3 linked regions of the Macaca fascicularis genome follow. The protein of the gene in region 2 purifies or fractionates together with the protein of the main gene of each other region. This does not show direct contact. Links are inferred from orthologs where the notes say so. Each region holds a gene or a part of one and is shown on either strand. Other genes may lie near its edges.

Region 1 (6,419 bases), on a different chromosome or scaffold from region 2:
TGATGGTGCCATTCACCAAGTCAGGAAACAGGTATCTTTTTGGCCTGAATTTTAAAAACTAATTTTAAAGAGCAAAGAATATTTTGCTTGGGGTGCTAGAGCTTAAACTCTGTTGAAAAAAAAATTCTTAGAATATTGGCTTTCTACAGGATGTAGACAGTATAAAAATGAAAGTGGGGAGGTCTACCAGGTTGGGAATACAGAGACATTTTACAGTTGCTAGCTAATAGTGGAAATCAATGCAAAATTGAGAGTAGGGTAGCCAAATCAATTGACAGAAGGCCAAAGTAGATTAAAATGAACAAGAGATTTACAGTAGAAGAGAGGAAAACAGGTGAGAGACATTTTAGGAGCAGAAGGCAAACTGAAAACGATGGAATGAAATTGTAGAGTATGAAAGGATTTAAAGTGGACTACTCTGATCGGGGAGGAGGTGGTGATGATAAAGGCAGCTGCTTTCAGCAACAAGGAGAGAAAGTGTGAAGCAAGAGGAAACTGGTCTTGGGAACAAATGAATCATCTTCTTCATGTAGTAGCTATGCCCTGGGTTGCATGATTATTCATAAACAAATGCAGGTTTCCTGTGGTGGCAGTGATCTAGGCATGAAAAATACAGTGCTAATATTAGGTTACAGAGTTAATGATCTCAATCAGTAGAAGGGCCCATTTCTCTCGACTGAAAATTTTGTAGCAACAAATGACCCTTACAGCATTTTATTAATATTGCTGAAAGCACTGTTGGGGCATCAGGTTGGGGACTGAAGGGAATCTCAGGGTCTACTTACAGCTTTTCCTTAGGTTGGATGTATTTCACATGTAAAATGGTGGTAGCATAGCACCTAATTCATAGAATCACTGCGAGGATGAATCACGGTTTCCCTTAGAGCCCCAGTTTCTCTTGTTATAGAAAGGGTATAGTGATTTTTTTGTGACTCAGGAGTATGTGGCAAAGGCACAGTTAGGATTATACAGGAACAGCTTTCATTAAGAGAGCTACTAGGTGACAGCTTCTCTGTGGTGGCTGCTCAATTATTAAATGAATGATTCCTGTAGTTTCTCATTATTATTTATCATCATTAGGCCATAACCTAAGGTAAGGTGAGATTGCCTTATAACATTTTTTATACATAAAAAATACTGGTTGCATGCTGATATCTGCTGTACAATAGAATGTCATAGGATCCAGTGCATGAGGCTCTATTCTTCTGTAGAGGGGTGTTACATAAACCCATTAGTGAAATTTAGGGAAGTTGCACCCAGACTAGGGAGGATGAAGAATGGAGCATCCATCTTTTGATAGGAATACACTTACACACACACATATACACACACACACACACACACACACACACACAGAGAATGAGAAACAAAAACAGATGAGTACAAAATTGAGCCTAAGAAAAAGAACTGGAACCAATAAAAATTGGAACTAGCATTTATTGAGTATCTTCTATGGGCCAGTCTCTTTATCTCCAATCTGCACAACAACCAGCAAGGCAGGCAGGAGAAAACTGAGGTTCAAAAATGTTACATAACTTGCCCAGGGTCATAAAGCTATAGATGACAGAACTGGAACTGGTAGTGTCAGTATGCGTCTGACACCAAAGTCACTACACATTCTAATATACCACCACTCTGTCAAAAAAGTGTATTTGGAAAATTTGGGGATCAGAGGATTTGGAGAATTATCTTTCCCTACTTCCCCTTTGACAGTCTTGTTTGTTTTTGGTTCTGACGTTTGCACCCTAGAGGCTGATTGGGATCAAATATGGGGCATCTGTAAACAGAATGATTCCATAGCCCCCACTGTGTAATAATTTCCTTCCTTCAGAGCATTACTAGGATTCGGCTGGGATGAGGGGTGGAGGTGGGAGAGAAGAGGTTGGGACGGGGAGGGTGTTAGTAAAAGATGGGTGATTCTTTGCTTACCTTTAAGTTGTTTATGAATTTCAGGACAACCCTTTGGCTATTCTCTTCTCTGGCTGGGCATATATATACATATATATTTTCATATTTGTTTTGTGGGGGTGGTGGTTTAGGTGTTAAGGGTTTGGTTGGTATCTGTAGAAAATTTCTGTAATGATCTACACAGTGGATAAAAAAAAAAAGTTAAGGTCAAAGACAATTCCTTCGTCTGTTTTGGGAGAGGAGTGTGTATATGTTTGAAAAAAAGGTTTGTTCTGGGTCACTCTTCTTTCATCCAGACGCATTAAAGGGATTAGAACGGGGTCTCCCCGCCACCCCCGAAGCCGGGAGAGACAAACGAAGGGATTCCCTTACATTCCTGCTCTCAGGTGCGGGTCCGAGTGACAAGAACGTTCACGTACCTTCGGGAGAGAAGGAAAAGGTGCTCGGGTCTGGCGGGGGGCGGGGAACGTCAAGGGTTTGGTGGGAACTGAGGGGCTTCCGGTTCCCGGGAAGTGGAGTCCCCGGCCGGCCGCGGGCCGCGGGCTGCGCAGGGAGCGCGGGGCCCTCGCCGCCCCCAGGCCGCGCTCCTTAGCGTTCCCTGCGGCTCGTGCCCGGCGCGGCCGCCGCAGTCCCGACGCCGTAGCCGGACGTGGGGTCCAGGGGGCGCTGTGGCCCAGCGGCGCCGGCGGCAGGAGCGGCCACCCGACGCTGGAGGCTTCGCTGAGGATCCTCGCCTGCTGCACCTCGGTCGTCCCGCCGCAGCCTTGCGCCCCCGGCCTGGCTCGGCGGCGCTCCTCCGGGATCCGCGTGGCTGCCGCGGCCCGGGCGCCGATGCGGCTGGGCGGGTGCCGGGCCTTAGCAGCTGTAGCAGTAGCAGCCGCAGCCGCAGCTACCGCAGCTCCTACAGGAGTGGGAGGTTTCGCGGTGGCGCCTGGGGCCGCGCCGGTGCCCTCCGGAGGAGGCTTTCGGCTCAGGGACGACCCCCCTGGCCATGCTGAAGCGCAGGCGGCCGCTGCTCGAGGTGAGTGTGGCGCGGCGCGGTCCGGGGCTCGCCCGCCTCCCGCCGCTTGTGGGGGCCTTGGCGGCAGCCTTCGGGCCGGGCGGACGGGGCGTCCTGCCACTGCGGCCGCCTCCCCCACTCTGCGGTCCTGGGGCCTCAGCCCTTTCTGCCTGCGTCCCCCGGGAGGCTGAAGGCCGTGGGGGGCGACTAGGCCCCGCGCCGTTGGGAAGCCCTCGCCCCGGCCTCGGTTCCGGCGCGGCCCGGTGTGTGGAGCTGGGGGCCGGCAGGAGCACGGCCGCCTTTCGGGTTTGCACGGGCCCGGGCCGAGCGCAGCCTCTTAGCCTGGGCCCTGCACGTACATCCCAGAGGGAGGTAGATGACGCCTGTTTGCAAACAGCTTTGGCTTCCCCGCGTCCCATACCGAGTACCTCAGAATCCCGGTAGTGGCGGGGGAATGGGGAGGAGAAGGCGGCCAGGGTGAGAATTGGGGTGCAGAGAGTGCGGGACCAAGAGAGCCCGTGGTACTCCTGGAGTGTCATTCATGGATCTGACTTGCTCGAGAACAACCTTTTGCGTCTTATTTGAGGTGAAATTTCATCACCTGCCGGTTGCTCAGCCCAGCCTCCTTGTATTGTATCTTGTCTCTAAGCGTGGTCTGCCTTGGAGAAAGCCCCATCGCATCTTTGCGATGCTAAGTTTTCTAGATAAACACTCACAGTTATAAAAACGTCTTTTACAAAGGTCTGTCCTCCCCCCCACCCCCCGCCGCCAGAGGAAATATTTTTATGCTTCAGTGTTCGGTACGAAAATGTTCCACTTAAAGAGATCCAGATAATGGTTGGCAAGAGGATTTTAAGTCCTCTTTAAGTGCCAGCTACTCTAATAAATACCTGAAGGAAATGGGACACATACTAAATTTTAGAAATAAAATGATTTGTTCTGATATTAATGTTGGAAAATGTTAGTACTTACAGTTTGATACCGTAAGTCAGATATTTATGTTTCGTGAGAAATGTGATTACAGGTTATTCCTGGTTTCCTGTTATGTGTGTGAAAGTTATAAGACTTATAGGTACTTGCAAAACTTTTATAATCATGAAAAAATATGCTTTTTGTAGAAAATTTGGAAAGTATGGAAAGGTACCGTGTTGGCTCTTAATAAATAATAATAGGAGAAATCACCCATAATCTCACAGATTGTAAACAGTACAGGTTTATAATGGGCTTGTACTGACAGTGATTTTTAAAATTATTTCTGTATATTAGGTTTAAAATTATCTGACTGCTCCATTTTACATTGCCATTTGTATAGGACCTATAAAAATATTTTACCAAATTACATTGGAACCGTAGTTGAATTCATCAATTGAAACAGAAGAATATGGGTAACTACCTAAAAGATCCCTAACTTAACTTTCTATGCAGCATGGGGTCTCCATGTAGGGAGAAAGTTTGGCATGGTACACGTTTTTGAAGATCTACTGTCTTACATGCTGTAGGCTTGCATTGTTTTTGTCAGATTTTAAGTATTTCTGTTAATTATTGGCTTGATTACCAGTTATTTTGGTAGGTTAATTTAGATTTTTAAAAGTCTAATTCAGGCAAAGTGTGATGGCTAGGCCTACTGGGGAGGCTGAATTGGGAGGACCCCTTGATCCTAGGAGTTCCAGTCCGGCCTGGGCAATGTAAGCAAGATGCCCCCCTCCGAGGCAGGTGGATCACGAGGTCAGAAGTTCGAGACCAGCCTGGCCAATATGGTGAAACCCCGTCTCTACTAAAAATAAAAAAAATTAGCCGGGTGTTGTGGCACGCACCTGTAGCCCCAGCTACTCTGGAGGCTGAGGCATGAAATCATTTGAACCCGGGAGGCAGACGTTGCAGTGAGCCTAGATTGGGCCACTGACTCCAACCTGGGCAACAGAGCGATACTCCATTCGAATACAGTTCGAATTCAGTCGAATACAGTTCTCAGTGTGTCCCTAAAGACCACCAACATTAGAATCAGTTGAGAGTGCTTGTTATATATATAACATAGGTATTATATGTAATATATGGATTCTTGGTCCCTTGAATTGAAATTCTAGGGATGACAATGGCCCAAAGAACTTTATTTTTATCAGTCTCCCTGATTCTTAGGCCTACTGAAGTTTGAGAATCACTGATACAGTAAATTTAAAATTAACTAACCTTGCTGAGCCGAAGGAAGGTGTCTGTTTTCTAGCAAAATTACAAATCTTTAGTGGCAATAGTCATTTCTTTTTTTTTTTTTTTCCCACTTCCTTGCAGCTCCAGCTCAAAGGATGTCATTTCTCGTAGTAAATAATCTTAGAAAGAAAAATGATATTTTGAGGGACAGCTAATCCAATCAGCAACCATTTATTGAGAGCCTCCTGTGATAGCTGTGGTGTGATAGAACACCTCGTTATTTACTTTGGCACTTAATGGACACCAATGTCATTGTCTATAAAATGCATATACTTCAGTTATTATGCTTACCTTGCAAGGCTTTTAGGATAAATACATCTGAAAAGGTATTACAATCTGTAAAATATTTTTATGGAGTTTTGGCTTTTAAGTGCCAGATCCTGTTGTAGGTATTCTGGGAAACACAAAAATGACCAAGGGCTCTACTAAACTTGTCCTGTGGAAGCAGAATACCTTTAATTAACTGTTACAAGGTAGGTCAGACAAGTGTTGTAATTGAGTGGAACGTACTAAATCTCTGTTTAAGGCGTCTGTGTCTCATCTTGCCCTTTAAGGACATTGATAATAATTTTTATATATGATTATTCCTTTCTCTTCCAATTCCTGATTCAGTGTTTTGTTTAAGGAAATAATTGTTTATTTTGCCTGGTGATAGTTTCGTATTAACTCCTTTAGAAAGGTAGAGTGAGTAGAGATGGTAATTCCTTCCTCTGTTGCTAAGCTACCACCGTTCATTCCATTCAGTAAACTTTTATTTGGCACCTTGTTAACGTGCTAGCCACAGACTGGTTGCAAGGCACAAAGCTTGTTTAAAAGATAATTGCCTGAGGCCGGGCGCGGTGGCTCAAGCCTGTAATCCCAGCACTTTGGGAGGCCGAGACGGGCGGATCACGAGGTCAGGAGATCGAGACCATCCTGGCTAACACCGTGAAACCCCGTCTCTACTAAAAAATACAAAAAAAACTAGCCGGGCGAGGTGGCGGGCACCTGTAGTCCCAGCTACTCGGGAGGCTGAGGCAGGAGAATGGCGTAAACCTGGGAGGCGGAGCTTGCAGTGAGCTGAGATCCGGCCACTGCACTCCAACCTGGGCGACAGAGCGAGACTCCATCTCAAAAAAAAAAAAAAAAAAAAAAAAAAAAGATAATTGCCTGGATTTTAGCTTAAGTTCTTATGTTCCTAAAGGGATGGTGTATATATGTGTGTTTTATGGTTGTTAATTGCATAATGTGGTACAGAGTATGGAGTCGGATGTGAGCAGGAATCCTTACCACACCTCTTAGAGCAATGTGACATTTAGATTCTGAG
Region 2 (5,017 bases):
GGAGCTAAGAGCCAGGTTGGGGTAGGGGGCAAAGCAGATTTTTAAATGACTTTCCCAGGGGTGTGAGGCCCTTGGGCCTCAGAAGGAGACCCTGGAGCACGGCTTGGCTGAGCTGCCACACAGGAAGCTTGTTCTCTACTCTGGGCCCCAGTGACTGAAATGTCCCATCTGGGTGTTCTGGGAGCACAGTGCCACCTCCTGCCCAGCCCCTCCATGGTGGGCCCCTTGATCTTGGCTCCCTCAGACCCCAGGACCCCCACAATTGTTTGTTCATCCCAGATTTTGTTCTTTGCTACCCTGAAGACAAGCCCACTTTTTTTGTTTTTGTTTTTTTCTAAGATCTAAAATGTGTTTATTTTCCTATAATTCATAAAGCACTTTATAAAGCAGTAAGATCTTAAATTTGTGTACTTTCAAAATACACCAAAAAGGTATCTTCACACACATTTTCTCACCGGTTCCCACAAAGATCCCTTGAAGTCAAAAGGAGCCACATTATCCCATTTGACAGAGGTGTGGCCTGAGGATCAAGGAGGGAGGTAAATGTGCCAAAGAGGGCCACAGACTACTACCAAGTGAGGATTGAAACTCTGCATCCTGACTTCTAACCCAGTAAGTTCCCATTAGCTGACATGAGATATATAGTCCAAAGATGAAGCACAGGTGACGTATTGGGACTGGATCTTCTTGGTCAAAGGGTCAAGCTGAGAATAAAACTCCAGGACTGGAATCTGGGCATCTGGGATGGTAGTTGGGGTCAAGGGTGGTGGCACTGATCAATTCCCATTACCTGGCTGCTCACCCACACCAGTGGTGGACTAATTCCTGTAATGCTTGTGCCATGGGAATCCCTCGGGTACTAACTGAAGTTCCATCTGTGATGGCCAAGACAACACATTCATCACCTGTTACCAAAGTCCTGGGCCTCCACCTCCCTTTTTAAGGGTTTTACCACTTGTCACTCAAGGAACACAGAGAGAAGTACAGGACTAGCCAGTGAGGGGCAGTGGCAAAGTTCCTGCAGACTCTGGTCTCTGGTTCCTGACTTTCTCTAGGAAGTAATTCTTGAAATCGGTGTTTCTTTCCCTCCATGTGGCACTCCCATTTGGAGATGATCCCAAGGCAAGCCTACCCTGGGTCTCCCCACTTGTCCTATGGGGGTTCACATGCTTAAGGCTCACAGCACTGAGCAACAAAGGGCTCTCAGCTCTGCTAAGTCCTAAAAGACGCCCCACAAAACACAGTTGTGCTGGACAAGTGGCCACAAGCCTATGCCTGGGAGAGCCCCCTCCTATCCAGGCAAAAGGCTTCTCAGTGGTTCCTCTGGGGGTGCTGAGCAGAGTCTGTGATTGGAGCATCAGGCTTTCAAGATTTACATCTTTATTAAAGACTGTGACAGTGGAGGCAGGCAGAACACCCCTCAGTCACATCTGAAAACAGCGCACATGGTGGGGCTGGAAATCAGTGGGCCCAGTCTCCCTTCCTCCTTCCATCTGCATCAATCTATTTCCATCGGTGCTTCAGAACCAGCGCCTGCTTTAACAGTCTGGCATCAGAATCTTATTTTAAATGCATCAAAGTTCACTGTTAGAGCCAGCACTCCAATTGTGGGAACAAGACCCTGTGGAATTCCTCAGTGGGTCTTCAGGGCCCCCATGGGATGGAGCTGCAGTATGGGCACACACATTTCACCTATGTGAAAGCTGAGGTCATCAGCCATGGAGGCTAGAGGTCTTGGAAAGCATCCCAGGAGCAGGGAGCCAATGAGAAGGGATGGGAGGGAGGGAGGAGGAGGAAGGGTCCGTTGTTCTGCTAATCAGAGAGGACAACCCCGACCTGCCTCTGCTCTGCTGTTGACCTCTGATGTGACCACAATGCTGGGGACTCACAGTTTGGAATGGGAGCTAGAATTCAAGGATGAGAAAGCTTCCTGTCCACTGCCTCAGAGGCCTGCTTTCCATTCCCAAAACTGCAGGATGGCACAGAGGGATGGCAGCTCTGAGACCATGGAGGCCAATCAGTCCACTTTACAGATGGGGACATTAGAGCTTAGGAAGGGGCCTGTTCCTAGGCCACACTCACTGCGCAGTCAGAGATAGGGACGGGACTTTCTCTCCTGTCCCACACTGCTTCCCCTTGGAGGAGCTGTCTATGAGAGCAGCGGTTCTCAAACTTGAGCATGCACCAGCATCACCAGGAGAACCTGTTAAAACACAGACTGCTGGGCCCCACCCTGAAGATTCTGATTCCAGAGGCCTGCAGTAGAGTCCACGGGTCTGCCTTTCTAAGAAGCTCCCAGGGGATGCTAATGCCGCAGGTCCTGGACTACATACTGAGTAGTGCTGGGCACTCCTTGGGACGGCTGAGGGTGAGGGCAGTGCAGGAAGAGCCAAGGGCCATGCTGTGAGGGGTCTGGTGGCCTGAGGACCAAAGAGCAAAGCTGTGGCCAAGTAGAGGTGTCTGTGCAGCCAGGAGGAAGGAAGCAAGCTTTGGAAGGTCAGGCTTTGGAAGCAGGGACGTGCATGGAACATCAGTTTCTGTCTTTGTTGATGAGGCCCCTCTGGGATGAAAGAAGGGAACAGAGTTGGCCTCTGGGCAGGTGGAGGGTGGGGGACCCTAACCTCATGAGGGGCAGTTTGGTTTGGAAGGCACTTTGAGTTGCCATGGGCTGCTGGGGCTGTAGCCAGCATCACCTCAGACTGTTCTCTGTGGGAGCTGTCAACAGGTGTCCTGGGGCAGGGGCTGGGGTCAGGACTGAGCTGTAAGGACACCCAAGGTAGTGGCAGGTGGGATGGATGGGGCAAGACCAGGGCCACCTAGAGAGCCCAGAGGTCATGACTTCCTCACTCCAGACCTCCCTGGTTCTGGCTCCTGGAAGGAGGGGGCTAGGAGTCTGGTGCACACCTGGGGTAGTGGGTGCTCAGCTTTGGAACCTTCTCTGTAGGATTTTTAGAGAAGAGAAATTTGGTCCCAGAGAAAGGGAATTGATTCTGAACCAAATGACAACTGAGGGCTGGGTACCAGGACCTGGGAATGCTGTGATGGGTGGGGCCTGGCTCAGGGACCCCATCCCTCTCTGCCCACCAGAGACTCCAAGATGGTCACCCCCTCCTCTCAGCTCTGCTGAGAAGCCCTCTCTGCCAAGCCATGGCCAGCAAGAGGGGTGCAGACTCCTTCAGCCTGTGCCAGCGCCAGACCCTCCAACAGGCCTTCAAAGTAGGTACCCAGAGCCTGCAGGTTGAAAGCAGGCTGGGCAGGGGGCAACGCGGTGGTCCGCAGGCTCAGGTAGCGGCTGTACTTCTTCAGGCCCCCCTTCCGGTCACGGCGGTGTGCGCTCAGCAGCTCCATGAAGCTCACATTGCGGAGGGCCAGGAGGCGGGCCTCAGCCCGGGGCAGCACAGCCGCCTGCACCAGGGGCTGCAGGGAGGCAAAGCACTGCAGGTTACTGAAGGGGTAGACATGCTGGGCCAGCTGGGGGCCCGGGGAGACCTCGATGAGGCGGCACAGGTCACGCATGGCCAGCACGGCAGCCATGGCACTGTGCTCGCTCATGTTTCTTGCTAGGTAGGTCTGGGCCAGGTTCTTGAGTTTGAAGCTGCTGGCCCCGGGCACACGCTCCTGGATGAGGGGCAGGGCAGCGAGGAAGCCCGAGATGGCCTCCTGGAATTCCCAGAGCCTGTTAATGTCCTCCAGGGCCTGGAAGAAGTTCGGGAGGCCAGGCCCCCACAGCTTGTAACAGGCCAAGATAGGGCGGCGCATGGAGCTCAGAAAGCTGAGGAAGTGCTGCAGCCCCACCTCCAGGGACACGGCTTTGGAGTAGATGCTGAAGAAGGCTTCGGGCTGGATGACCACGCGGAACTTGCTTTCCTGGTTCACTGCAGCCAGCTGGCTAATCTTCTGGGCTGGGCAGGAGAGAAGGGCAGGGTGAGGACCCAGGGGCACAGAGAGCTCTGGAGTGGGAGCAGGGGGTCCTCTAGGGCTGCTGACCCACTATCTAGAGACCTCACCTTGGGGCCTGCTGGCAGTAGCCACACATCAGCCCCCAAATGCAGCTCTGACCCTGGTTCTGATGGGATAGCAGTCAGAAGGGGAGGCTCGGCTGCCCTCCAAACACCTTGTTCACCAGCTGGGGATCCAGCTCTCCCCTTCTTCACTACCAGCCCCAGAGTTGGCCAAACTCCATGGATCCAGGTCCCTCCTGTCTTCTGTCAGCCTCAGCCACTTACACTAGAGATCCCAAGCTGTCTGAACTTAGCTCTCCATCCCATGCTCCTTCCTCCAATTCCCTCAAGGACGCCAGCCCAGTTAGAGCCCTGGGACGTAGACAGCACTCCACTCAGAGCAAGGCCCAGAGCCTCCCACTGAGGTCTGCAAATAACTTTCCTGTACCATGAAAACACTTGCTGTTTCTGTCTGGCTGGGCTAGCCCCAATGTTGAGTCCATGCCACAGGGTAGGGCCTGGGGCTCTGGCTCAAGGAGGGGCATTTGCAGAGCCAGGGTAAGCATTGGAGGAAGTTGAGGGGCTTCCAGAATAAGGCGTCTGGTCCCTCTGTGACCTTGGATCTGTGGGCAGCCCTGTGCAGCCCCCTGTGGGACTGGCCCTCTACTCAGAAACGTGTAGCACAGCCAGAGGCCTTACTTGGATGACTGGGCTCATGGCAATGAGCTCGCACATTGTGTTTCTGTCTAGGAGTGTGTTCCCCAGGCTCTCCGTCTAAGAGAAGAACTGGTCAGAGGTGCACTTGTGGAGGCATCTGCCTCCCTCGCACACTCAGGCACTGGACAAGGCAGACATCTTCATTCAAGCCAGCAAATGACACCCCCGGAGCCCAGGTGAGCCGGAGTGCTCTGCCCAGCCTGGCTGCAGTTGTTGGCCAGAGCTCAGCGCTCTCCCGAGCCTGACAGATGGCTCTGCCTGCACTTCTTTTTGGGACTCAGAGACTCAGTTAGAAAGGGGTGGGGGTAGCCCCAGGAGAACCCACTTTCATTGTCAATCTTGAGGTCAAAGAAAACCAG
Region 3 (6,471 bases), on a different chromosome or scaffold from region 2:
GCAGAATTTTTGGGGGTGTGAGGTCAGGGTCTCACTCTGTCACCCAGGCTGGAGTGCAGTGACATAAATATGGTTGACTGCAGACTCAGCCTCCTAGACTCAAGCAATCCTCCCACCTCAGCCTCCCAAGTAGCTGGGAACACACACACATACACCATTATGCCAGGCTAATAAGTTTTTTGTAGAGACAGGGTCTTGCCATGTTGCCCAGGCTGGTCGTAAACTCCTAGGCTCAAGCACCCTCCCATATTGGCCTCCCAAACTGTTGGGATTACAGGTATGAGCCACTGCACCTGGCTGGTTGCAGAAATTTAAGACGAAACATGATGTTACATCTTTAAAGATTTGTGGGCCAGGCAACACGGCAAGACCCCATCTCTTCAAAAAATTTTAAAAATTAGCCGGGCATGTTGGTGTGCACCTGTGGTTCCAGCTACGTGGGAGGCTGAGGTGGGAGGATCATGTGAGCCCAGGAGGTCATGGCTGCCATGAGCCAAGATCACACCACTACACTCCAGCCTGGACAACAGAACAAGACCGTGCCTCAAAAAATAAAAAATAAAATAAAAAAGAAAGAAAAGAAACGCAGATGACTCTGGAGGAAACATTTTAAAAAGCCATCCAGGAGAACGCCTCCTTTTCCCTAGGGGACCCACTTCCTGCTCCCACAACTGCTTCTGATGCTTCTTCTCACCTTAAAAAAAATTACAGTGTCCAGTAATCTTTTAATCAAAACACTGCATCATAGGTGGAGACTGAAAGCCTGCCATTTGTGGTAGCTGTTTTTTGTTTGTTTATTTGTTTTAAGACAGGGTATCGCTCTGTCACCCAGGCTGGAGTGCAGTGGGGTGATCTTGGCTCACTGCAAGCTTCCTCTCCCAGGTTCAAGCGATTCTCCTGCCTCAGCCTCCCGTAGCTGGGATTACAGGCATGCACCACCAGGCCCGGTTAATTTTTGTATTTTCAGTAGAAACGGGGTTTCACCCTGTTGGCCAGGCTGGTCTCGAACTCCTGACCTTAAGTGATCCACCCACCCCGGCTTCCCAAAGCGCTGGGATTACAGGTGTGAGCCACAGCGGCTGGCCTGGTGGCGGGTGGGGTGGGGGCCGGTGGTCGCTGTTGCTTCACAGCTGATCCAGGTTTTCCGGTGATGCTCCTCTGCTGCTTAGTTGCCCTGAACACATTACTTTTTCACGGTATTAATGGCATAGCATATATTTTGCTGTGAAGTACTCATATGTGAATAAGCATAAGAAAGTATTGCTTATCAGTAGCATATACATTTACAGTCTGGAACAATGGTTAGGCCAACCAACCAGAGACTGTCCACAAGGGTGGCTGAGATAGTGACACCTTTGGTTTCTGATGGTTCAATGTATACAAACTTTGTTTCATGAACAAACTTACTTAAAATATTGTATAAAATTACCTTCACACTATGTGTATAAGGTGTATATGGAACATAAGTTAATTTCATGTTCAGACTTGGGTCCCATCTCCAAGATATCTCATTACGTTTATGCAAATATTCCAAAATCCGGAAAAATCCCAAATCCAAAAACCATCTGGTCCCAGGCTTTTCAGGTTAGGAATACTCACCCTGTAGTAACTTGCCCAAGGTCACATAGCTACTAACTGATCGAGACAGGACCACATCTGCCTGTCTTCAAGCTCGGGACTCTTGAGCTACCACACCATTCCGTTTGTATAAATTCTATTTGTGCCCGGCGTGGTGGCTCACTCCTGTAATCCCAGCACTTTAGGAGGCCAAGGCAGGTGGATCATTTGAGGTCAGGAGTTCGAGACCAGCCCGACCAACATGGTGAAACCCCATCTCTACTAAAAGTACAAAAAAAATAGACAGATATGGTGGTGCGCGCCTATAATCCCAGCTACAGAATAAATTTGCGTCATAATTTGCATGATTGATTTAATGTAGTTTTGGCGGTCTCATCACACAAGCACCACCAGCACCTGACACTGGGAGGAGAGAACGTCTTCAAGGTCCGGAAACTCAAGGTCGTGCTGATTCTAGGAGCTTTCAAAAACTATTTTTGGAAAACCCAAATCCCGGTCTTCAGCCAGCGTTGCTTGCAGTTGCTAGCCCTACCCACAAGGGGGAAGCCGACGCTGCACTGCGCAGCCAAATGCGCCTCTCTTCCTCTTCTTGATCTCTGTGGTTAGCCTGGGAAAAAAGCCCGCCTCCTGGCCCATAAGGCCCTGGGCCGGAAGCTCCGTTTTCTTTTCCTGCACTCCATCATGGCGGTGAGTAGCTGGGATCTGGATTTGCTTTTCTTTATCCGTCGCCATCCATGGCAGGCCGAGCTTGCGGGGGCTACCTCGCCTGCAGCCCGAGGAGTATGGACCCCTCAATGCTTGCCGGCCCAAAACTGGCAGAGCCGTTCGAGCCAAGGACGCAGGGTTGAATTCTGTCACTTTCCCTGCCATCATTTTAGGAGCGGCTCCGGGCAGTTGCCGGGAGAGCTCAGAAGCACTGTCAGGAGGCTGCAGCTAGGGCAGATGGGGTGAATGGAGGGTTCTGAGGCAAGGGTCCGCGCCTTTTCCTGGTTCCGGGGACTTGAGACTTGCTGAGTGCTAGGAAACCTTAGCCGGGTGCTCGGCTTAGGGAAGGTGCCAGCCTTTAGACAGCTTCCGAGTGGGATGCGGAACGTCGCATAACCACGTGTTTCCTGTTAGCAGTTAAGTTCTATTCCGTCGCTTACTCCCCTTAGTTTCCCTTACAGTGGGGGCGCTCTTTGTTATCCTGAGCCTCTTAGAGTTCGATCTCAGTGTCCGTAACCTTTAACACTCAATACCTGTCCTGAGTTTTCTCTTCACCTGTTCCGTTCGTGGAGGAAGAATAGGTCCCGAGCTGACTTCGTTCCTTGATGCCTCCCAAACACGGTGATACCTTCTTCGTTACGATTTGGGATGAGCAGAAATAAAAATGCTGTGCAGATAGAAAGTAGTAAAAACTCAGGGCTCTCAGCTGTGAGTGTATTGACTGCTGCTCTTCCCCATTGCAGCAGGATCAAGGTGAAAAGGAGAACCCCATGCGGGAACTTCGCATCCGCAAGCTCTGTCTCAACATCTGTGTTGGGGAGAGTGGAGACAGACTGACCCGAGCTGCCAAGGTTTTGGAGCAGCTCACAGGGCAGACCCCTGTGTTTTCCAAAGGTGAGTAGTGACAAATGACAGGGCTACCCACTTGGGTCGCCTGTTTGTTTAATTTACCTGCTGTCGAGTCTGTTTAGAAAGTGACAGTCGGCATCACTTAAAGCGTTAAATTCATGAGCCGACCAAAAAGTGTCTTTGTTTTCGAGATTGCATGTGGGATTGGAACACTGGATTTTATATGAGCAGATCTTAAGCTAAGGCTAGCCCAAGTAAAGATTTTCCCAAGTAACTAGGATATGAGATAGAGTGGAAATATCAGGAACGAAGTAAAGATCATTAGATCTGATTAGCAGTTAGGGTTATATAGGCTGCCTTAAGAACAGGGCTGTACAGGAGCATGAGAGGCTTCAGTGGCCTATGATAGTGCTACTGCACTACAGCCTGGTTGACCCTATCTCAAAAGTTGTATACAGATTGCCTGGGTTTGAGTGATGGCTTCACCACTTGCTGGTCTGACTCTGGGCTCTCTGGACCTCTGCTTTTTTATTTGCATAAAGAGGGTGTAATACTTGATAATTGTGGAAGATAAAATGAGTTGTATATGTGCCGTTGCTTTAGGATGGTGAAATGTGGCAAGTCTTTGGATTCCAATCCTGCTTTTTATTACCAGTTGTGCAAGTTAATAAACCTCTCAAAACCTCACGTATAAAATGTGGACAACAGTATAATAATAAGGTTTTAGCAAGTACTAGATTATTGTCAATAATGCTTTATTTTCTTTGGACCATGATAATCTTACTAGTGACTTCTTTGGCTTATTCTGGTTGTGAACTTGCCCTTCTTGGAACTTTGGCATTATGACTGTTCTTAACTGCTGAAGGATGGCTGGATGTCTGGAAATGGGAAAATCTGCTGTGGATGAAATCTTATTAATAGATGTAGGCGACACTAATTAGAACACCACAACTTAGAGTGTGGATGAATACTTAATGCCTCTTTAAGTCATGGAGATGGTGTTCTGGGAAGGAGGTGAGTGTAGTGGGGGTGTGATGGCATCTGACTCCTTGTTACCCCCTTTCTGCAGCTAGATACACTGTCAGGTCCTTTGGCATCCGGAGAAATGAAAAGATTGCTGTCCACTGCACAGTTCGAGGGGCCAAGGCAGAAGAAATCTTGGAGAAGGGTCTAAAGGTGAGGCTAATCCCCTAATGGAGTGATATTAATGAGCACCCACTTAATAACACAAGTAGATAAGTTACATTTAATGTTCTGTTCTTTGGTGCCTTGACATTTATTATTTAAGTTTCTAAAATACTTTTTACAATCAGCAGGGTTAAACTATTCTTGGTGGTTTAAGAGATGCTTGAGGCTGGGCACAGTGGCTCTACGCCTATAATCCCAACACTTTGGGAGGCCAAGGAGGATAGATTATTTGTGGCCAGGAGTTCGAGACCATCCTGGCCAATATGGTGAAACACCATCTCTACTAAAAATATAAAAATTAGCCAGACTTGGTCGCGGGCGCCTATAGTCCCAGCTACTCGGGAGGCTGAGGCATGAAAATTGCTTGAACCCGGGAGGTAGAGGTTGCAGTGAGCTGAGATTGTGCCACTGCACTCCAGCGTAGGCCACAGAGTGAAACTCTTGTCCAAAAAAAAAGGATGCTTGGGAGTCATTTCACTCCTCTGCTTTCTCTGGGTTTTTCTCTGTTCTTTGGAAGCTGGGAGAGGTCATTTTGGGTAGTTGGGGTGTAGTGAGGAAGTCAGATTGTGTTCCTAGCCAAGTTTTATTGACTTTTTTTTTTTTGAGACGGAGTCTCGCTCTGTCACCCAGGCTGGAGTGCAGTGGCCGGATCTCAGCTCACTGCAAACACCGCCTCCCGGGTTTACGCCATTCTCCTGCCTCAGCCTCCCAAGCTGCTGGGACTATAGGCACCCGCCACCTCGCCCGGCTAGTTTTTTGTATTTTTTAGTAGAGACGGGGTTTCACCGTGTTAGCCAGGATGGTCTCGATCTCCTGACCTCGTGATCCGCCCGTCTCGGCCTCCCAAAGTGCTGGGATTACAGGCTGGAGCCACCGCGCCCGGCCTATTGACTTCTGTTTTTGCTCTGGGGTGCATGTTGCAGACTGAGCTATTAATAGTTATTTGGGGGTGGGAGGGAGATGATGACGAGGAATGTTATTGCTGCATTTTTCTCCACAGGTGCGGGAGTATGAGTTAAGAAAAAACAACTTCTCAGATACTGGAAACTTTGGTTTTGGGATCCAGGAACACATCGATCTGGGCATCAAGTATGACCCAAGCATTGGTATCTACGGCCTGGACTTCTATGTGGTATGAATATTTCATCTTTTCCCGCTCCTGGTCTGTGAGGAGAGGGGAATCTTTATTTTATTTCATATGTGGTATGTTGGTGTTCACATGTTGAGTTGCAGCTTTGAATATTGTCTGCCTTTGTGTTCTCCTCCCTGTTGGGAATATGTGCCTCATTTGTGGCAAGTGTAGGGGTGCAGCACTGAACAAGATGGACAAGATCCCTGCTGTTGGAGAGCTTGCAGTCCAGGATCTGTAAAGCACCCACATGGCTTAAAGGTGGATGAAGGAAACTGTTCCCTCCAGCCAGTGATTTGAAACTTTGGAGAGAGGCAGTATTGGTGCCACATTTGGTCTGTGGTTTGGCTGCACTGAGGCTCTTCTTCCCCTGATTCTTCCTATAGAAACAGCTTTGGGTGATGCAGTGGTTTGATCAGGAAGGGGGTTTTAACATAGAAATGACCTTTTGTGTTACTGCCGTGTTTTGGTCCAACAATAAAAACTGAATAGCCTAAATCAGAAGTCCTGACTAGCGTGGAACCTGAAAGATGGTGACACCCTCATTAGACAGACAAGTAATAAGAATTGGATATTAACAGGATGTTGGAGGAACCGCACACCTTTGGGAAGCACTTTTGAGCTGAAGCAGAAGGAAGAAAATATAGATATATATTTGTGCTTCTCAGAGTTTTATGTTTTCTACACTGCTGGTGTGGCTATAGATTTTTAAATGTTATTTTTTAAAATGTTTTGGAGATTGGGGAGCAGGAATGGAGGATCCTCAGCACCACTGGAAGATAGGCTGGGGTTGGGGGGAGGTGCTGAAAGTTCCAGCCTCCATAGCAAACCTATAGTATGGCTGTGTGTTGTGTGAGATGCTGGTGGCAGCTTTGTCAGACACTGAGATCAGGGGTCTTGCTCCAGAATCCACCGGGCTGCCAAGTGACTCTTGAAGATCTGTCTGTAATGTTGAGTCTTGTCCATCTGCTCTTGACTCTGAGCTGGCTAGGTGACTGTTGGTTATTCCTGGGACAGGTGCT

What was found. The genes of interacting proteins can lie anywhere in the genome.
Region 1: the proteins of PML (region 2) and ZFYVE9 purify together in Homo sapiens (affinity purification with western blotting; 3 studies listed by BioGRID and IntAct, with this or other methods). This does not show direct contact. The link is inferred for Macaca fascicularis from reciprocal best matches to the Homo sapiens genes PML and ZFYVE9.
Region 3: the proteins of PML (region 2) and RPL11 purify together in Homo sapiens (affinity purification with western blotting; 3 studies listed by BioGRID, with this or other methods). This does not show direct contact. The link is inferred for Macaca fascicularis from reciprocal best matches to the Homo sapiens genes PML and RPL11.

Annotation. Positions count from the first base shown.
Region 1 is NC_088375.1:182,579,980-182,586,398, reverse strand, and holds the start of ZFYVE9 (zinc finger FYVE domain-containing protein 9), read left to right. Parts: upstream 1-2,184; 5' UTR 2,185-2,327; coding exon of another isoform or gene 2,328-3,181; intron 3,182-3,329; coding exon of another isoform or gene 3,330-3,447; intron 3,448-6,419. Other genes in the region: uncharacterized protein, read right to left, coding at 2,043-2,084, 2,328-3,181, 3,330-3,447. UniProt on the Homo sapiens protein: Early endosomal protein that functions to recruit SMAD2/SMAD3 to intracellular membranes and to the TGF-beta receptor.
Region 2 is NC_088381.1:50,969,735-50,974,751, reverse strand, and holds the end of PML (protein PML), read right to left. Parts: coding exon 4,984-5,017; intron 3,903-4,983; coding exon 3,115-3,902; 3' UTR 1,364-3,114; downstream 1-1,363.
Region 3 is NC_088375.1:211,420,785-211,427,255, reverse strand, and holds the start of RPL11 (large ribosomal subunit protein uL5), read left to right. Parts: upstream 1-2,236; 5' UTR 2,237-2,259; coding exon 2,260-2,265; intron 2,266-3,026; coding exon 3,027-3,177; intron 3,178-4,201; coding exon 4,202-4,308; intron 4,309-5,320; coding exon 5,321-5,452; intron 5,453-6,466; coding exon 6,467-6,471.